Linked DNA regions of Rattus norvegicus. The protein of the gene in region 3 purifies or fractionates together with the protein of the main gene of each other region. This does not show direct contact. Links are inferred from orthologs where the notes say so. Each region holds a gene or a part of one and is shown on either strand. Other genes may lie near its edges.

Evidence for each region. Proteins that work in one complex are often made in the same cells at the same time.
Region 1: the proteins of Kif5b (region 3) and Klc2 fractionate together in Homo sapiens (co-fractionation; 7 studies listed by BioGRID and IntAct, with this or other methods). This does not show direct contact. The link is inferred for Rattus norvegicus from reciprocal best matches to the Homo sapiens genes KIF5B and KLC2.
Region 2: the proteins of Kif5b (region 3) and Klc3 purify together in Homo sapiens (affinity purification with mass spectrometry; 3 studies listed by BioGRID and IntAct, with this or other methods). This does not show direct contact. The link is inferred for Rattus norvegicus from reciprocal best matches to the Homo sapiens genes KIF5B and KLC3.
Region 4: the proteins of Kif5b (region 3) and Klc4 purify together in Homo sapiens (affinity purification with mass spectrometry; 4 studies listed by BioGRID and IntAct, with this or other methods). This does not show direct contact. The link is inferred for Rattus norvegicus from reciprocal best matches to the Homo sapiens genes KIF5B and KLC4.

What each region holds. Positions count from the first base shown.
Region 1 is NC_086019.1:211,851,160-211,854,702, reverse strand, and holds the start of Klc2 (kinesin light chain 2), read left to right. Parts: upstream 1-1,487; intron 1,488-1,517; 5' UTR 1,518-1,528; coding exon 1,529-1,756; intron 1,757-3,543. Other genes in the region: WW domain-binding protein 11-like, read right to left, coding at 441-1,097. UniProt on the Homo sapiens protein: Kinesin is a microtubule-associated force-producing protein that plays a role in organelle transport. The light chain functions in coupling of cargo to the heavy chain or in the modulation of its ATPase activity.
Region 2 is NC_086019.1:88,180,622-88,184,639, forward strand, and holds the start of Klc3 (kinesin light chain 3), read right to left. Parts: upstream 2,802-4,018; 5' UTR 2,773-2,801; intron 1-2,772. UniProt on the Homo sapiens protein: Kinesin is a microtubule-associated force-producing protein that may play a role in organelle transport. Plays a role during spermiogenesis in the development of the sperm tail midpiece and in the normal function of spermatozoa.
Region 3 is NC_086035.1:56,183,995-56,188,186, forward strand, and holds the start of Kif5b (kinesin-1 heavy chain), read left to right. Parts: upstream 1-1,391; 5' UTR 1,392-1,794; coding exon 1,795-1,920; intron 1,921-4,192. UniProt on the Homo sapiens protein: Microtubule-dependent motor required for normal distribution of mitochondria and lysosomes. Can induce formation of neurite-like membrane protrusions in non-neuronal cells in a ZFYVE27-dependent manner.
Region 4 is NC_086027.1:21,833,868-21,837,935, forward strand, and holds the start of Klc4 (kinesin light chain 4), read left to right. Parts: upstream 1-1,267; 5' UTR 1,268-1,501; exon of another isoform or gene 1,502-1,512; intron 1,513-1,869; 5' UTR 1,870-1,942; intron 1,943-2,518; 5' UTR 2,519-2,524; coding exon 2,525-2,782; intron 2,783-4,068. Other genes in the region: Mrpl2 (large ribosomal subunit protein uL2m precursor), read right to left, coding at 612-707.

The DNA.
Region 1 (3,543 bases), on a different chromosome or scaffold from region 3:
CCCAATGACACCACTGCAAACCAAAGACACTAGTCTGACCTCATTATCTGGTCAGCAGTATCCACCCAATGTTCCCTTCAGGGACATGGGTCTTCTCCCTACCCCACCGATCTCCACATGCTCCTTTCCACCTCTTTCTCCCTTTTAACCAGAAGCCTCCTTCTGTTCCCTCACAAAGCAAACCTAGATGCTGAGAATTCCCTAGAGATACAATCAACTCCGAAGCCTGAAAGAGGTGCGTCTCTAGAGATAAAAAAGCACGGAGGCGAGGGTAAAGTCAGATGCGTGAGAGGGGGGTAATGACAGCACCCACCTCACAGCCCTTTGTGTGAGCACTGTTAATGCACTAAGACATCAACAAAAACATTGGACAAATAGCCGTCAATCAATAGGGACTGATTCGCTCTGGAATCTGAGGAGGTCGGCCTTTTCCTTGATCCTCAGTCATGCGGGTCCCGACTCTGAACGCCCCAGACCAGGAAGCTCTGGTCGGAGGGGCGAGTCCAGCCACGCCCCTTCTGCGTCCTGTCTGGGTTGGCCCCACCCCGAAGCCGGCCAGGCCCATGGGGCCCCTTTAAGGCAGCGAGCTGGCCGGCTGGAACGTGTTTCGCCCCCTCCGACGCCGCCGAGGTAGCGGCTTCACCTTTAAGGCGGCGCGGGGACTGCTGGGAAGGCCGGCGGGATGGAGGCAGCGAGACGAGCTCACGGTCGAGGATCCGGGTGAAGCGGGACAGGAGCAAGAGCCAGAGCCGGACCAAAGCAGAAGGTGCAGGTCGGCGCGGGCCGGTTGGGCCGGGAGACCCGGTCAGGCCGGACGGTGAGAAGCGGTTGCAGGTCGGCCTAGAGGAGGAGTCGTCGTGGGCGCGGCCTGTGGGAGGACCCGACCGGTCTGCGGGGAGGGGGCGCGGTCCTGGGCTGGGGTTGGGAATTAGGCCTTTTCTAGGGAGGGTCCGCAGGCCTTTGGCCAGCCTGTGGGAGGGGTCGTTGTGGGCGCGGCCTGCAGAAACCTGTCCCGAAACTGAAGACCGCAGCCTCCCTGGAGGGTGGAGGCGGGGACCCGGTGTCTGGGCTCCGTCTGCCCTGGGGGAGGGGGTCATGGTTCCGGTTGCCCTGGGGAAGGGGCTGTAGCCCGGGCTGAGACCCAGTAGCCCGGAGGGCCTGTAGTTTCTGACTTGGGAACGCCTTACAATGCCCTAGTGCTCTGCGTCTTGATTAGGACAGTTCCGGAAAAAAACCCCAAGGCTGGGCTTTACATAAACTGGCCTGAGCCGGTGGTCGGGGCGGAATCAGGGTCCAGCCTCACTTCAGCCACACCGCAATGCGTCTCCCTAGGCTAGACGAGCCTGACGCGCCCCCTGTAGGTCGCGTGCGGGCACCGCGAGGACTGCGGGCTGAGGGATCTGTACACCCTTTGGGACCTGGGCGTCTGGGGACCTCCAGGTGTTTACCTAACTTGGGGTGGACGGCGGTATGGCCCCAGGCCCGGCGTCCGCCTGCCCCACCCCTTGCCTCCACAGACCGCAAGACCATGGCCACGATGGTGCTTCCTCGAGAGGAGAAGCTGAGTCAGGACGAGATAGTACTGGGCACCAAGGCGGTTATCCAGGGTTTAGAGACCCTTCGAGGGGAGCATCGTGCCCTGCTAGCTCCCCTAGCTTCTCATGAGGCAGGCGAGGCCGAGCCGGGCTCACAGGAGCGCTGCCTCCTCCTGCGCCGCTCCCTGGAGGCCATCGAGCTGGGGCTTGGGGAGGCTCAGGTAGGTCAGTGTTGGGGCTATGGTGGAAGATTACTGGAAGGGTCCTGGTAATGTAGGAATACCCTCAGCAAGGAAACACTTATCTCTTAGAGCGTCACGTTAGGACAATAAGTAATGTTAAATGAATACACTTTGGAAATGCCACCTTACACAGAGCTGTGCCATTCAGGCCTCATTCTACCTAACAGACTGGATGACAGAAGAAAACAGAAATGCTTTAGTAACCTCCCTTCACAATTCAATTATGCATTAATTCATTAAGTTCTATAGCTTATCATTTAGCATGTGCCATGGCAGTATGTTAACGCTGAGGATGCAGAGGTCAGCAAGGCAGACAAGATCTTTGTCCTCACTGGGCATGGTGTCTGTAATCCCAGCACTTGAGAGGTGAAAGCAGTAAGGTTCCAAGCTCCAGGCCAGTCCTGGTTCAGCTTACTGCTCCCTCCAAAACAAATTAAGATGATTTTCCCCTAATACAACAGAAGAAAAACACGCACACATAGTCAACTAATTACTTGAAGCAAATTGTGATCGGTGCCCCAAGGACAACAAGATCTCGTGATAGTTTATAGAAGGGAGTCTTGTCTATCGCTCAAACAATACTTCTCTGAGAGGACTTTAACTCAAGCACTGAGGGAAGAAACGGGCTGGCCTCCAGAAGAGGCAACTAGAGGAGAGCTGCGTGTGTAGGAAAGGTAGGAAAAGTCCATGTGCTGAAGTGAGACAAGACTAGTATAACGGAGAGGGAGAAAGGGGCACTCGAGGCCTTTGTGGAAGCAGGAGCCAGAATATGTCCAGGCTGTCAGGAAGTCAGTGGAGGGTACTAACAAGCAGAAGATGTAGTCTGACTTAACTTCTGAAATTTCTTTATGAACTATGGAAAGTTAACTTTAGTAGGTCAAGGATGGACTCTTGGAACAAGTGATTAGGAAGCCACTGCTAGGCTCCAAATAGATGGAAGTTTGAATTAGAGGGGTAGCCAAGGAGACACCAGTTCTAGATATTCTGGAAGGAGGCTCAACAGGACCTGGGGATGAAGGTCAGAGGAGCAGCACAACTCCTGGGTGTTTGTGCTTTTAGCAAGTTTAGGGATGTAAGGCTATGGAGCTTTTAGGAGTTCTGTTGAGGTCCCCATATAGTGGGCTGTTAGATAGGGAAGGGTTTTGTTCTCATTGGTTCTTAGCCAATCCACTGCCTGGATCCAGAGAGCTTGTATTGTCTTGATTTCTTTGTCTTTAAAATAGCAAGCCAGGGGGTTGGGGATTTAGCTCAGTGGTAGAGCAAGCGCAAGGCCCTGAGTTCGGGTCCCCAGCTCCGGAAAAAAAAAAGAAGCAAGCCAGGCATGGTGGCACATACCTTTAATCCCAGCTCTTGGGAAGCAGAGACAGACAGATCTCTTTTTTTTTTTTTTTTTTTTTGGTTCTTTTTTTCGGAGCTGGGGACTGAACCCAGGGCCTTGCGCTTCCTAGGCAAGCGCTCTACCACTGAGCTAAATCCCCAGCCCCCAGACAAATCTCTTAAATTCAAGGCCAGCCTTGTCTACAGAATGAGTTCCAGGACAGACAGAAAAACTGTCTCAAAAACCCAAACCAACCCCTCGACCCCTCCCCCACCCCCCAAAAAAACATAGTGGCTGTGCCGTGTACTGTATGTACTTCCAGGTCGTCGAGGACTTGTTTGTTTTGGTTTTGAGACAGGGTCTCTACATAGCCCTAACTATCCTGGAACTCACTATGTAGACCAAGCTGGCCATGAACTCACAGAGATCCACCTGCCTCCTGAGTGCT
Region 2 (4,018 bases), on a different chromosome or scaffold from region 3:
CTTCTGGCCATGTGGGTATTGCACACACCTCCTGCACACACATGCTTGTAAGCAAACGCTCATGTACATAAAATAAAAATAAATCGTAGCAAGGGGTAGTGGCACGTTTTTAATCCCAACACGTGGGAGGCAGAGGCCTCTCTGAGTTCAGGCCAGCCTGGACTACAATTCGAGTTCCAGGATAGCCAGAGCTACACAGAAAAACTCTGCCTCAAAAAGAAAAAAATCTTAAAAGAAAAAGGAGACACTGGGAACACAGCTAGACAAACATTGCCAAGGCCCTGGATTCCATCCCTAATACCATAAGGGAAAAATAAAAAGTTGATGGATGGGCATATGGTACAAATCTGGGATCTGAGCTCTCAAATCGGGGTTCCAAGCCATCCTTGGCTAAACCTTCCTGTGCCGCCTCAAGCACTGGTACAGGCAGACAGCACTAGTCGAGGGCTTGTTTATTGTTTGTTTGGTTTCCAACACAGCGTTTCTCTGCGTAGCCCTAGCTGTCCTGGAACTCACTCTATAGACCCGGCTGGCCTTGAACTCAGAGATTCACCTGCCTCTACCTCCCAAGAGCTGGGATTAAAGGCATGAGCCACCTCTGTTGGGCTGAATACATGTAGTTTTTAAAGAGATAATCCTCTGCTCCACACAGAGTCCAGTGCCCACCCCACTTCCTCTGATGATTTTGGGACTGCCTGAAGCAGCGTTTTCTAAATCTCAGAGTAACAAGTAGGTGTGTGTGTGTATGCATGTGCGTGTGTATGCATGTGCGTGTGTGTGTGTGTGTGTGTGTGTGTGTGTGTGCTCCTGCAGCATTCCAGCCCAAAAAGAGACCCAACTTCAAACTCTGAAATACACTTTCTACTTTGTGAGCAGCTTTTCCAAAGGCTTTAAAAAGTCAAAACCTTGGGGTTGGGGATTTAGCTCAGTGGTAGAGCACTTGCCTAGCAAGCGCAAGGCCCTGGGTTCAGTCCCCAGCTCTGGAAAAAAAAAAAAAAAGTCAAAACCTTAATTCCAATGGTCTAACTGGGTACCACCAGGTTATGACTCTGGAGAGGAATGGTGGTCACACCTTTAAGCCCAGCAACTCAGGAGGCAGAGGCAGGAAGATTTCGTTGAGTCCAAAGCCAGCCTGGTCTACAGAGTGAGTTCTGTCTAAAAACCAAAACCAAAACAAAACCAAAAAATCATTTCAACTTCTCCCCAGATGTGGCCTCTCCCACCTGTCATCCCAATACTCAGAGTCAGAAATGGGAGGATCGGGGTTGGGGATTTAGCTCAGTGGTAGAGCGCTTGCCTAGCAAGCACAAGGCCCTGGGTTCGGTCCTCAGCTCCGGAAAAAAAAAAAAAAGAAAAGAAAAGAAATGGGAGGATCCGGTGTTCAGGGTCACTTCATCTCTACAAACAAAACCAAAACCATATATAGAGACACATAAATAAGGTCATGGTGAGAGCGTGTGGAACCCGAGTGGGCTCAACCTCACAAACCATGTAGTCAGTCTCTTTACCACACAAGCTCAGGGTGAGCCATCCTGACTCCAGTCATTCTGCCCCAGTGTGGCCAGGGTCACCACCCCATGGCACAATCTCAGACCCAAGGAAGCCTTTGCTCCATATGCAGCTTCCCACAGCTTGATACCCAGATCAACAATCATGGGACAGCCACAGCTCAGCTGCAGCCATCTGCCACTCGAGCTGTCCCCAGCATTCACAGGAGCCCCATGAGAGTTTCACCAGTCCACAGCAGGCACACAGCGTGCACGCACACACACACACCTATGCAAACCCCAGCTTGCAGACACAGTCACACTCATACCCCCCCACACACAGATCCCCACCCCAGGGATACACAACCAGAAAGTCAACAGTTAGTCAGTGACAGTCACATATCGCTGACACAATTCCACACACTCCACCCCAACTGTCACATAACACCTAGATCCAACCCCATTAGGCAGCCCATTCCCTGTCACCCATGGTCATACGTGTGAATCAGCCTCAAGTACAGAGCTGATCACAGACTCAGCATCTCAGTCGCACATGCTCAGTACTGTGCACAGTCCACATGTAACACACACACACACACACACACACACACACACACAGAGACAATTAGACAAGATCACCTACATTCACTCGGTCTGTCCCCATCAGAGTGACATGGTAACCTATCTCCCTTTTACACTCTTACACTCTTACCCACAATCTTTCTTACTTTAAAAAAGATATATAATTTACATATACATATGTATATATATGTATATATTGATACAGAGTTTCTTTAATATATAAACAGAGCTTCTCTATGTAGCCCTGGCTGTCCTGGAATTCCCTCAACCTGGCCTCAAATTCAGAAATCCATCTGCCTCTGTGCCCCCACCCCCCACCCCCAAGTGCTGTGATTAAAGGTGTGCATCATGATGCCTGGTCCTTATTTAATTTTTTTCCCTTTATGTATGGCAGAGGCACATGGAAGGTCAGAGGACAACTTGCAACTTAAGGGAGTCCATTCTTTTCTCCCACCTTGTGGATCCTGCAGACCAAACTCGAGAAATTGACAGTTTGGCAACAAGTGCTTTTACTCTCCTTGTTGGTTCTCTCCCCCTTTTCTTTTTCTTCCTCCCTTTGACACTTGTACCCACAATCCACCCTCCTGTCTCCCTTGAGTACGAAGCCTAGGCTCGCCTTCAACTCCGTTCTCCCCGCCTCAGTTTCCACAGTGTCCCTTGCCTTACTCCCTCTCTTTGCACACCCCCGCGCAGGCTCCCTCACCATGCACGTCTTGCACTCTCAGGCTGCAGCTGGGGACTCTCCAACAGCGCGCCAGCCTCTCCCCTGGCCGCGGAGACCCTGCACCGTACTTCGCGTCACAAGGCCCCGCCCCGCCCGCAGCTGTTTTTCTACCCGGCTAGGGGCGGGGCAGGGCCCCGCGGGGACCCCGAGGCTCATCCGAGCCGCCAGACCCATAGCCCCTTCTCTCCATCCCTGCGGCCCCCTCGGGAATCCCGAAGCAGCCGCCGCCGTCTCCCGTGCCCACCTGACGGCCGCCGGTCTGAACCGCCTCGCTGCGCGGAGACCCGACTGCTCCCGCTGCGAAGCCGCTGGTCCGGGAGGCTCCTGAGGGGGATGGGGCAGGGCAAGGCCACGCCCCCGCAGGTGCGCAGGCCACGCCCTCGGTCGACACACATTGAGAAATCCTCAGTCTAGGATCGGGGTGGGGCGGGGGCGGGTGGAGGCCACGCCCCTGTAGGTGCTCAGGGCACGCCCTACGCCGCTGCAGTAGGAGAAGCCTGCAGTTTAAGAACTTTTGTAAACTCTGTCTGGGGTCCTGCGAGAAGGCTCAGACAGTAAAGGTGCTTACCGCCAATCCTGAGGGGCTGAGTTCCATCCCTGAGACCCTCAGGGTGGACAGAGACGGGCTCTCACATGTTGTCTTCTGACTTCTACATGTGTACAGTCATACGTTCACACATATGAAGTAAACACATAAAAACGTAATTAAAACTTTCTTGGGTTGGGGATTTAGCTCAGTGGTAGAGCGCTTGCCTAGCAAGCGCAAGGCCTTGGGTTCGGTCCCCAGCTCCGAAAAAAAGAAAAAAGAAAAAAAGAACTTTCTTGAAGGGGCTGGAAGGATGGCTCCTAAGGTAAGAACGCTGGCTGCTTTTGCAGAGGACCCAGGTTCAATTCCCAGAACCCACACATGTTGCTCAAAATCATCTGTAACTCTAGTTCCGGGGGATTCAGCACCCTCTTCCAGGGCCTCCACAGACACAGCATGCACATAAAGATAAAAACCTCCAAAAATACTGTTTCAATAATTGCAACCTCAGAACCTTACACAACAGTTTCTTTCCGGCTGACAAGACGGTAGTAAAAACGCTATCTGCCATGCTTGAGAACCTGAGTTTCATCTCCAAGAACCAAATGGAGCCTGAAAACTGACTCCTGGGAATTGTTCAGGAGTCGTCCAAGGAGAGCCTGGCCTCCACATGCATGGATGGAACATGTGCAGACATAC
Region 3 (4,192 bases):
CTGCCTTGCCTGGAGCCTCTCAGAACACGGGGTCATTTAAGTTGTATCCACATTCCACACTTCCAAGGCCTGTGATAAAGCCCTACTTTGCTTGATTTCTAAGATTCTCCACTGCAACTGAGCTCTTTTCCTCCATTGCAGAAGGCCAATCAAGCTGGATCTATTAAACTCTGGATTTGTTTCTGGAGGTGCTAGGATGTTCCAGTGAGCTCAGCAGGTCATTTACCCAGCCAAGTCTGAAAACCAGAAAAAAGGTTTCTAAATGTTGTTGAAGTTTTCCCTTGCAGCACCTCAGAACCATTTCCACATAGAGTTTTTGTGGTATTTATCTTCGGAAAAGAGAATGCTAAGTCATTTGTTTTTTAAGTGCAAGTGGTGGTTGAAGCCAGGGCCTCCTGCTTTCTAAGCAAGCACACTAGCAGACTTATGACTCCAGCCCGGGGAGTGGTTTTCTTAGATATGTAACCCAACGTATTAATATCTAGGTCAGTGTTTCTCAACCTTCCTAATGCTGAGACCCATTAATACAGTTCATGTTGTGGTGACCCCAAGCATAAAATTATTTCATCACTATTTCATAACTATAATTTTGCTACTGTTATAGATAGCAATATAAAAACCTGCTATGTTATTCCAAAAGTGGTTGCAACCCACAGGTTGAGAACGGCCGATCTAGGCCTTTAAAGACACTCTTAAGGAACAAGTGCTACAACAGCATTCCTCTGGTGTTGCAGCTAAGTTGGGTTTCCCATTGGTCAGGGAAGTGGGACCTCAAATTCACCAAATACCTTTGGGAAACAGTGGCTCACCTGTCAAGTGATGTCAAGCTCGGGGCAGCTAAAGGTGACAAGTGACGGGGAGGTTCTTCTTCCAACCCACCCAGCAGTTCCATATTTCTTGGAAAACTTCTCACATTACCTGAAAGAAACTTCCCCCTTCTTTGTTATGTCTGAACAATGCTCGCGGGGTGGGTTACTGCTGCACCCCGGCCATGCCCCACCCTAAATTCAAATCTCCCCGGTTTTGGCAAGGCGATCTAAAACAGAAACAAAATAAAACCCAAGGGTGCATCAGTAATCATTTTTTCTCTAAGGCCAAATGAAAGCACTCTTCTTTTTAGGGATCTGGTCTCAAACTAAATTGAACATCACCATTAACTGGTTAAAACTAACTTCTCCAAAGAAAAAGAGATAAGTAAACCTTCCTGTGCTCTGAGAAATTCTGTAGCGGCCTTGGCGCTATTCAACTTGCAGGAAAACTCGATCTGAAGTCCTAAACCAGCAGCTGAGGTGGAGCCGGCCATAGCCGGCGGCCGGTCGCAGGCTTGGATTGGCTGCTGGGCGTCGCCCCGCGCCTGCGCAGTGTTCCGCCCGCCCGCCCAGCTTGCCGCCAGCCTGGGCACTAAGGCCTTTGAGGGTGTGAGTGTCAGCTGGCCCGGAGGCCGGCGAGCTGCCGGGACAGGATAGTGGGCCGAGCCATAGGCCCCGGCTGTCCCTCCCGGAAAGAAAAGAAGGAGCCGCTCGCCAGTCCCGGCAGCCTGCAGAGATCGGTGAGGGAGACGCTGAGGAGCACTGAGGCGCTGTGGGCGCTGCCGCCATGACCGCCATGATGGAGCGGAAGTGAACTAAGGGCGCGGGCTGCCGGTGATAGCGCTTTGGTCTAGCTGCCTGGGGCTCGCAGCGCTGCGGAGCCCGGGCCTTCGGGTCCTCGCGACCCCTGCTTCTTGGCTCCCGTCGCTTATCCCACTGAGCGGCGGGGAGTGGCTCCCGGCCTGCAGTCCCGGCTGCCAGAAAGATGGCGGACCCGGCGGAGTGCAACATCAAAGTGATGTGTCGCTTCAGACCTCTCAACGAGTCTGAAGTGAACCGCGGCGACAAGTATGTCGCCAAGTTCCAGGGAGAAGACACGGTGATGATTGCGGTGAGTGGCCCTGTCCCCACGTCACTCGGGGTCGGGCAGGGCGGTGAGTTCTGGGACGTGGCCGGTCGCAAGGACCAGAGGGAGCAGGGAGTGCTCATTCTCCCGAGCCGGGTTTGCGGGTTCACACGGCCAGGGAGGAACGAGCTATGTTGAGGCAACTCTGTGAAGGTTCGAGGATCACCCCCCACCCCAGTGCTAAGCTCTGGCAGCTGGGAGGTGTCTTGTTTCTCAGTCTGGACACTCCCCCACCTGGGGCTCTGGAGGCTACGTCCCAGGAGCTAGTTTAGTGCACGTTCACTCGCGCGCTCGTGTGTGTGTAGATATGCTTGTTTCTCACATGTTCACCCTCTCTGTTTTTCATGTTAACAGTAATTGGGAAATTGAAGTCTGTAAAAAGAGCTAGTGGCTTTTCATTGAAATTAGAGTTAATTGTCTCTAATGTTATAGGAGGTCTAAGTAGATTTAGATTGGGCCAAATAAGTGTCAGAAAGATCTAGAATTTCATTCTTTAGCGTGTTTTAACATTGTAGGAAAGATAGGTATAACGGAGACATAGTGTTGTAAAGACCTTATGGGAATCTAATCACCGTTATTAGATTCATGTTAATACAGATATAGTCTATCTTAAAGGAAATTGATCATGGTAATCTGAGAGGCAGCAACTACTCCATTGTAGTGTAAAATGTAACTGAGCTGATTGATTATTATTAGAAAAACCTGAAAGGGAAGATTTTTTTTTTATATAGCTAGCATTGCAGATTCTCCGAAAACAGCATTCTGAGTTCAAGATTAAAAGTGACTGATAAGATTGCCTCTATATACAGAACAGCAAGCTAAACTAAAAAGTAAGCGCATCATTAGTGATGATGCCATGGGCATTGCTATTAGGATTCAATTGTTAATGTCAGTTTTACTCGTAATTGTTTGTTCTTGAGTAGAAATCTATATTTAGTATATTGTTTGAGCTACTTAATTTAGAAATAGGGCAGAGAGGTCACGGAAGACTGGCCATTGATGATTGAAAGCATTGGCCTGATGGTAATACTAAAGTTCTCTAGTGGGTGTGTTAATGTGAAGGTTTTCAAAGTTCAGTTTGGGAAATGTACTACATCCTCCTGGTAGGGTTATGGCAGGAAAAAAAAGTATATATATCAGGTCACTAACCCCAACTACTGCTGTGTGAAGACTGTCAGGCCAGTTCTTTGTTAATGAGTTCTCAAGATGCTCTTGCTATAAAAGACATCATAGTAAAGAAGGGAAGTTAATTGAGCATAGGAATTCTGTTCTTTAGTGCACAGAGACCAGAGTGGAAGGTGGTTAGGTGTATGTTGTGCCTGCAGTCCTTAGCAGATTAGTTCCCAACTTGAGGCTTCTTATTCCTTAGCATCTCTGATTATTCAGTTTTAGCAATGATTTATACAATAAAGATATATTTCATTTGCCACTATTATTAAGATGGTCTTAATTCTCTGAGTTTTTGTGCATGCTTTAAAAATTTTGTAAATATCACTAAGATTTGTTTTGCTTGGAATGCCAAAATTTAAGATTTTGTATTAAGTTTATGTAATCATAGCACGTGTGAGCCTGAGACAAGAGGATTGTGGCCATAATACATGCAACAAAAGATAGCCCCCACTACAGAAAACACATTTATTTTAGGTCCTTTCCTTTGGGAAAAGTTATCATGATTTCTGTTTGAAAGTTTCTGTAATACAAGTGGGTTTAACCAATGAATAGAAACTTAGGTAGAGGATGAGTAAAAAGTATAGGGGAAAGTACATTTTAAAACTAAAGGAAACATTGAGGACACTAAAAAGATACTTAATATATTTCAATTATTGTTTTAGAAATTGATTTCTTACATGTATTACCCATATTTATATGATGAAGTCTTTGTGTTCAATTTTTAAAAGACTATTTAAGAAGTTATAAGGGGTTTAAGGAATGAAATGAAAGTCTCTATGCCAAAGAGCCAGATTGAAAAAAATTGTAAAAACATGATTTATTTAACTTAATTTATTGGATCCTAAACATGATAAATTAGAACTAGTTTAGGAGAGAATTGCAACAGCATAGCATGTAAAACTAGAGTGTTTTAAGTATGATATTTAGGTATTTTGTTCATTATCTTTAAGTTAAGTCAAAATTTAAGATCTAAATGTGTTAGTTTATAATGTCAACTGAGTGGTAGTCACTGTTCAGATAAAAAATAATTGGATAGAAAATAATTGGGGATTCTGCTTTTCTTCTAAGTTTAGCTTTTAATATTTTG
Region 4 (4,068 bases), on a different chromosome or scaffold from region 3:
CTCAGGACCTCTGGAAGAACAGTCAATGCTCTTAACCACTGAGCCATCTCTCCAGACCCCAATAATTTCTTTTTTTCTGTGATTCACCATTGCCCACTTCAGACCCACTGGTTGACATTCCCTAATATCAGCCACAACCTATCCACACATTAAAATGGTTAAGAGCACTGGTTCTGGTGTGAGGTGTGTAGGTCAGAGGTAAAAGTGCACAGCATGAGCAAGGCTCTAGGTTTAATTTGAAGTACGAGAGCAAAAACAAAAGCAAGCTCTGAAGTCAGTCTGTCAAGTCCCAGAAGGTGTAAGACTTAGACTGTTGACCAGTGTTCTCATCTGCAAAATGTGCACAACTTTCAGGAGTTCCTTTAATTCAGTCCTCTATTCTGCTTGGTTTGCGGTTGGCACATTAATGTTACCATTGCAACCTGTTTAGTAAAGATTTGCAAAAGTACTTGGAAGCCAGTATCTCGCTGACGAATGGAGCTTTCGGAGAGAGCAGCATTTACAAACAGCAAAGGATGAAGGCAAGTTTACCCAAGGTCACGTGATCCCGACTAGCCTTGAGGGATCACTGACACCCCAGGCGGATTTTATTTCCCAGGTAAGCGGATTACCTGGCCAACAGGAAGCAGAGTCGGAACCCGGGCGGTAATGGCCGGGGATGCCAGGCTCAAGGAGCGCAGAGCACTAGCCAGCGCGCACAGGGCCATGGAATGGTCAGATTCCTCCGTACAGAACTCGCTTTTACCTTTACCCAGAGCCTGGTGCTCTTAAATGACGTTTCATTCGGGGTACCGTCGCTTTTCAATGACGTAAGAGAGGCGGGCACAGAAGTGCAGCGCCGTAAGATACAAGCTTTCTTTCCTCCCTAGAACAAGTTCTTAGCCAATCATTGGAAGGCACTGAGGTCACATGATGGAAGACAGTCCCCGCCCCTCAGAGCCGTCAAAACAATTGCCTCGAGCGGCAGCCATGATATATTTAAAGGAGCAGTACCCACGAAGGCGGCAGCGGGACCAGCAGACTGCAGGTGAGTCTTTGGGAGTACCCCTGGGGCTGAGAATTAAGATTACACTAACTCTTATTCCCACATTCTGGGACAAATGAGTAAGTCACTTCCTACTAACCACACAAAACTTCAGACTGACTCAAAAACTCCGCCCCCCGCGATTCTTCCCCGCCCCTCGGCGTCCAGACAGACAGTAGGACAACCTGCCCCGCCCCCTGTGGGAACCCCTGACTCCGTGACCTCGAGCTTGTCCGCTGTCGGGTCTTGGTCAGCGACTCTGCCCTCACTTCCACCTTCCTCTCCCCTCAGCCCTCGAAGATCTTACTTCTGTCCTTACCCTCGGCTCTCAGGGCAAGTTAGGACCCTTAGACACTCCTGATTGTAGGCCCCCAGGCTTGGATAGCCTGCGCTCAGCGCCTTTCTCTATGACCCCACTGTGCACGGCAGATCTGCTACGCTTCCCTGGACCATCCGGCACTTGAGAGGCAACTTAAGGTGCCTGTTAGGTGATTATGTCAGACAAAGCCATGAAAGGCGGCTATTGCGGTAATCCAGTCGGGAATCTGTAACCAGGTCTCCCTTTAACAGGCACACCACACCCATTGCTTCAGGTCTCAGATTAAATCGGTCTTTCTTTCCCTTATTGGGAGAAAGTAACTCCTCAGAGCTAGAACGAGGAGATTGAGGAAGAAGGGACATTAGTACGAGTCTCTGAAGAACCTGTAGGCTGAAGGAGGGAGGGTGTTTGTCCTGGGTGGGGCTCTGTGCCAGGTCCTCTGGGAGGCTGTGAGGTGGTGACAGAGAAGGGGTGGGACTGCCGGACTTCTGGACTTTGGGCAGTACAAATCCTTCTAAATCCTTAGTTGCAGGTCAGAGTTTCTTCCGGGCTCTGGCCTGGGAGCCACCTGAAACCAAGGGCTTCTGCTCTGTACACAGGTAAGGAGACTTCGGAAATGAGTTTGGAGGAAGTAGGAAGACAGTCTGAATTCTGGGGGTGGGGTGGGCTGGGAAAGTTAGTTGGAAAGGAGTTTAGCAGGTCGGGAGGTGCTGGGCTTAGTCCCTTGCTGATGCAGTCTGAAGACCTTCAACCTTCCAAGCCCTGTAATAACCACTGCTGTTTCCTCTCCCCCTCCTTCACTAAGCTTGGGTCCTTCCCCTTTATATTGGGACAGTGCTTTCTGCACAGCTCTTCCACCCGCCCTCTGTGATCCTTACAGTGCTTCACATCCCCTGCTTCCTTTTCCTAACCCATGCTCTCTCTCCAATTGCCAAGTCCTAAATTCCTCTAGCTCTAAGCCCGCCCGATTGTTCTAAAGATCTTTATTGAAGTTCATTCCTCTCCCTCACCTTACTTTTACGGTTAGTGCGGTGGAATTTCCTCCTCTTTACCTAGGCCCTTTCGTCAGCTTAGTCATGGGGGTCTCCCATCCTCTTCCCTTCGTGTGGATGCCCACCAGTCTCTAACATTGTGTCTTTCGTCGTTTCCACCTGAACTCTGTGGTTTCTCTTTAGCTGAGGATGTCAGGCCTGGTATTGGGGCAGCGGGATGAGCCTGCAGGGCACCGGCTCAGTCAAGAGGAGATCTTGGGCAGTACCAGGTTGGTGAGCCAAGGGCTGGAGTCCCTACACAGTGAGCACCAGGCTGTGCTACAGAGCCTGTCCCACACCATCGAGTGTCTGCAACAGGGAGGCCATGAGGAAGGACTGGTGCATGAGAAAGCCCGGCAGCTGCGACGGTCTATGGAGAACATTGAGCTGGGACTCAGCGAGGCCCAGGTAAGAATCAGGGGTGATACCAAGTGTTCCAGTTATCTGATGCAAGTTTGGGGTCACCTTGTCCTAGAAACTTGGATTTGTTAATTCATTAAATATTCATTAAGTGACTACTGTGTGTCTCAACTCTTGTGAATGCTGGTGGTGCATTACAGAACAACACTGAGTAATTCCTCTCTGAGCTGATATTATAGCTGGGGGGATAGCTAGAACACAGGTCCATAAGTAAATGATTTACTGTGCCAGAGTAATCATTGCTGAGGACAGAACAAAGACAAAGACAGAAGGGAAGGAGCTGGAGAGATGGCGCTGGCTGCTCTTCCAGAGGTCCTGAGTTCAATTCCCAGCAATGGTGGCTCACAACCATCTGTAATGGGACCCGATGCCCTCTTCTGGTATGTCTGAAGAGAATGTAGTCATAGACATAAAATAAATAAATCTTTAAGAAAGGAGGGAAGTAGGAAGAGGATGCATTTTCACACAGATTGGTCATAAAATAACCTCACTTTTGAGCAAAGATTTGAGGGTGAAAAAGGAAGTCATGGGATAAAGGGTTCCAAGCAGGTAGGACAGGTGCAAAGGCTTTGCGTGGAGCCTGGGGTGAATTTAGTGATTTACAGCGCTGGTGTGGCTTTCTACAGGGTACACAGTGAGTGAGGGGACACAGTAGATCACTCCGGAGGAGGAAGGATCCCATCAGAGACATCCACAGATAGTGTGGAGCCGGCAGGCTGTCCTGGGGTTTTTTGCTTGTCTGTTGAGAGAGATGGGAGCTGTTGGGACGTCTGAGGAGGGATGGGACTCAGCCTGGGAGAGAGTAGAACTAGAGACTAACAGAGACAGGGAGGCCTGGGAGAGGCTGCTATTGTCTAGGTAGGAACTGGCAGTTTGGCATCTGATGAAAACAATAGGGGTGCTGGCAGCTGGGGTTAGTTTATGTATTTAATTCCGTTCATTCATTTATGGATTTAGTTATTTATTTTATGTATATGAGTATACTGTCACTCTCTTCAGACACACCAGAAGACAGCATTGGATCCCATTACAGATGGTTGTGAGTCACCATGTGGGTGCTGGGAATTAAACTCAGGACCTCTGGAAGAGCGGTCAGTGCTCTGAGCCTCTGACCCATCGCTCCAGCCCGAGTATTTCTCTTTTTTAATTCCATTCATTTATTTTATATATACAGGTGTTTTGTCTGCATCTATGAGTATATGCTACCTGTAATCTAGTATGTGCAGAGGCCAGAAGAGGCCATTGGAGCCTCTGGAACTGGAGTTACAGGTGGC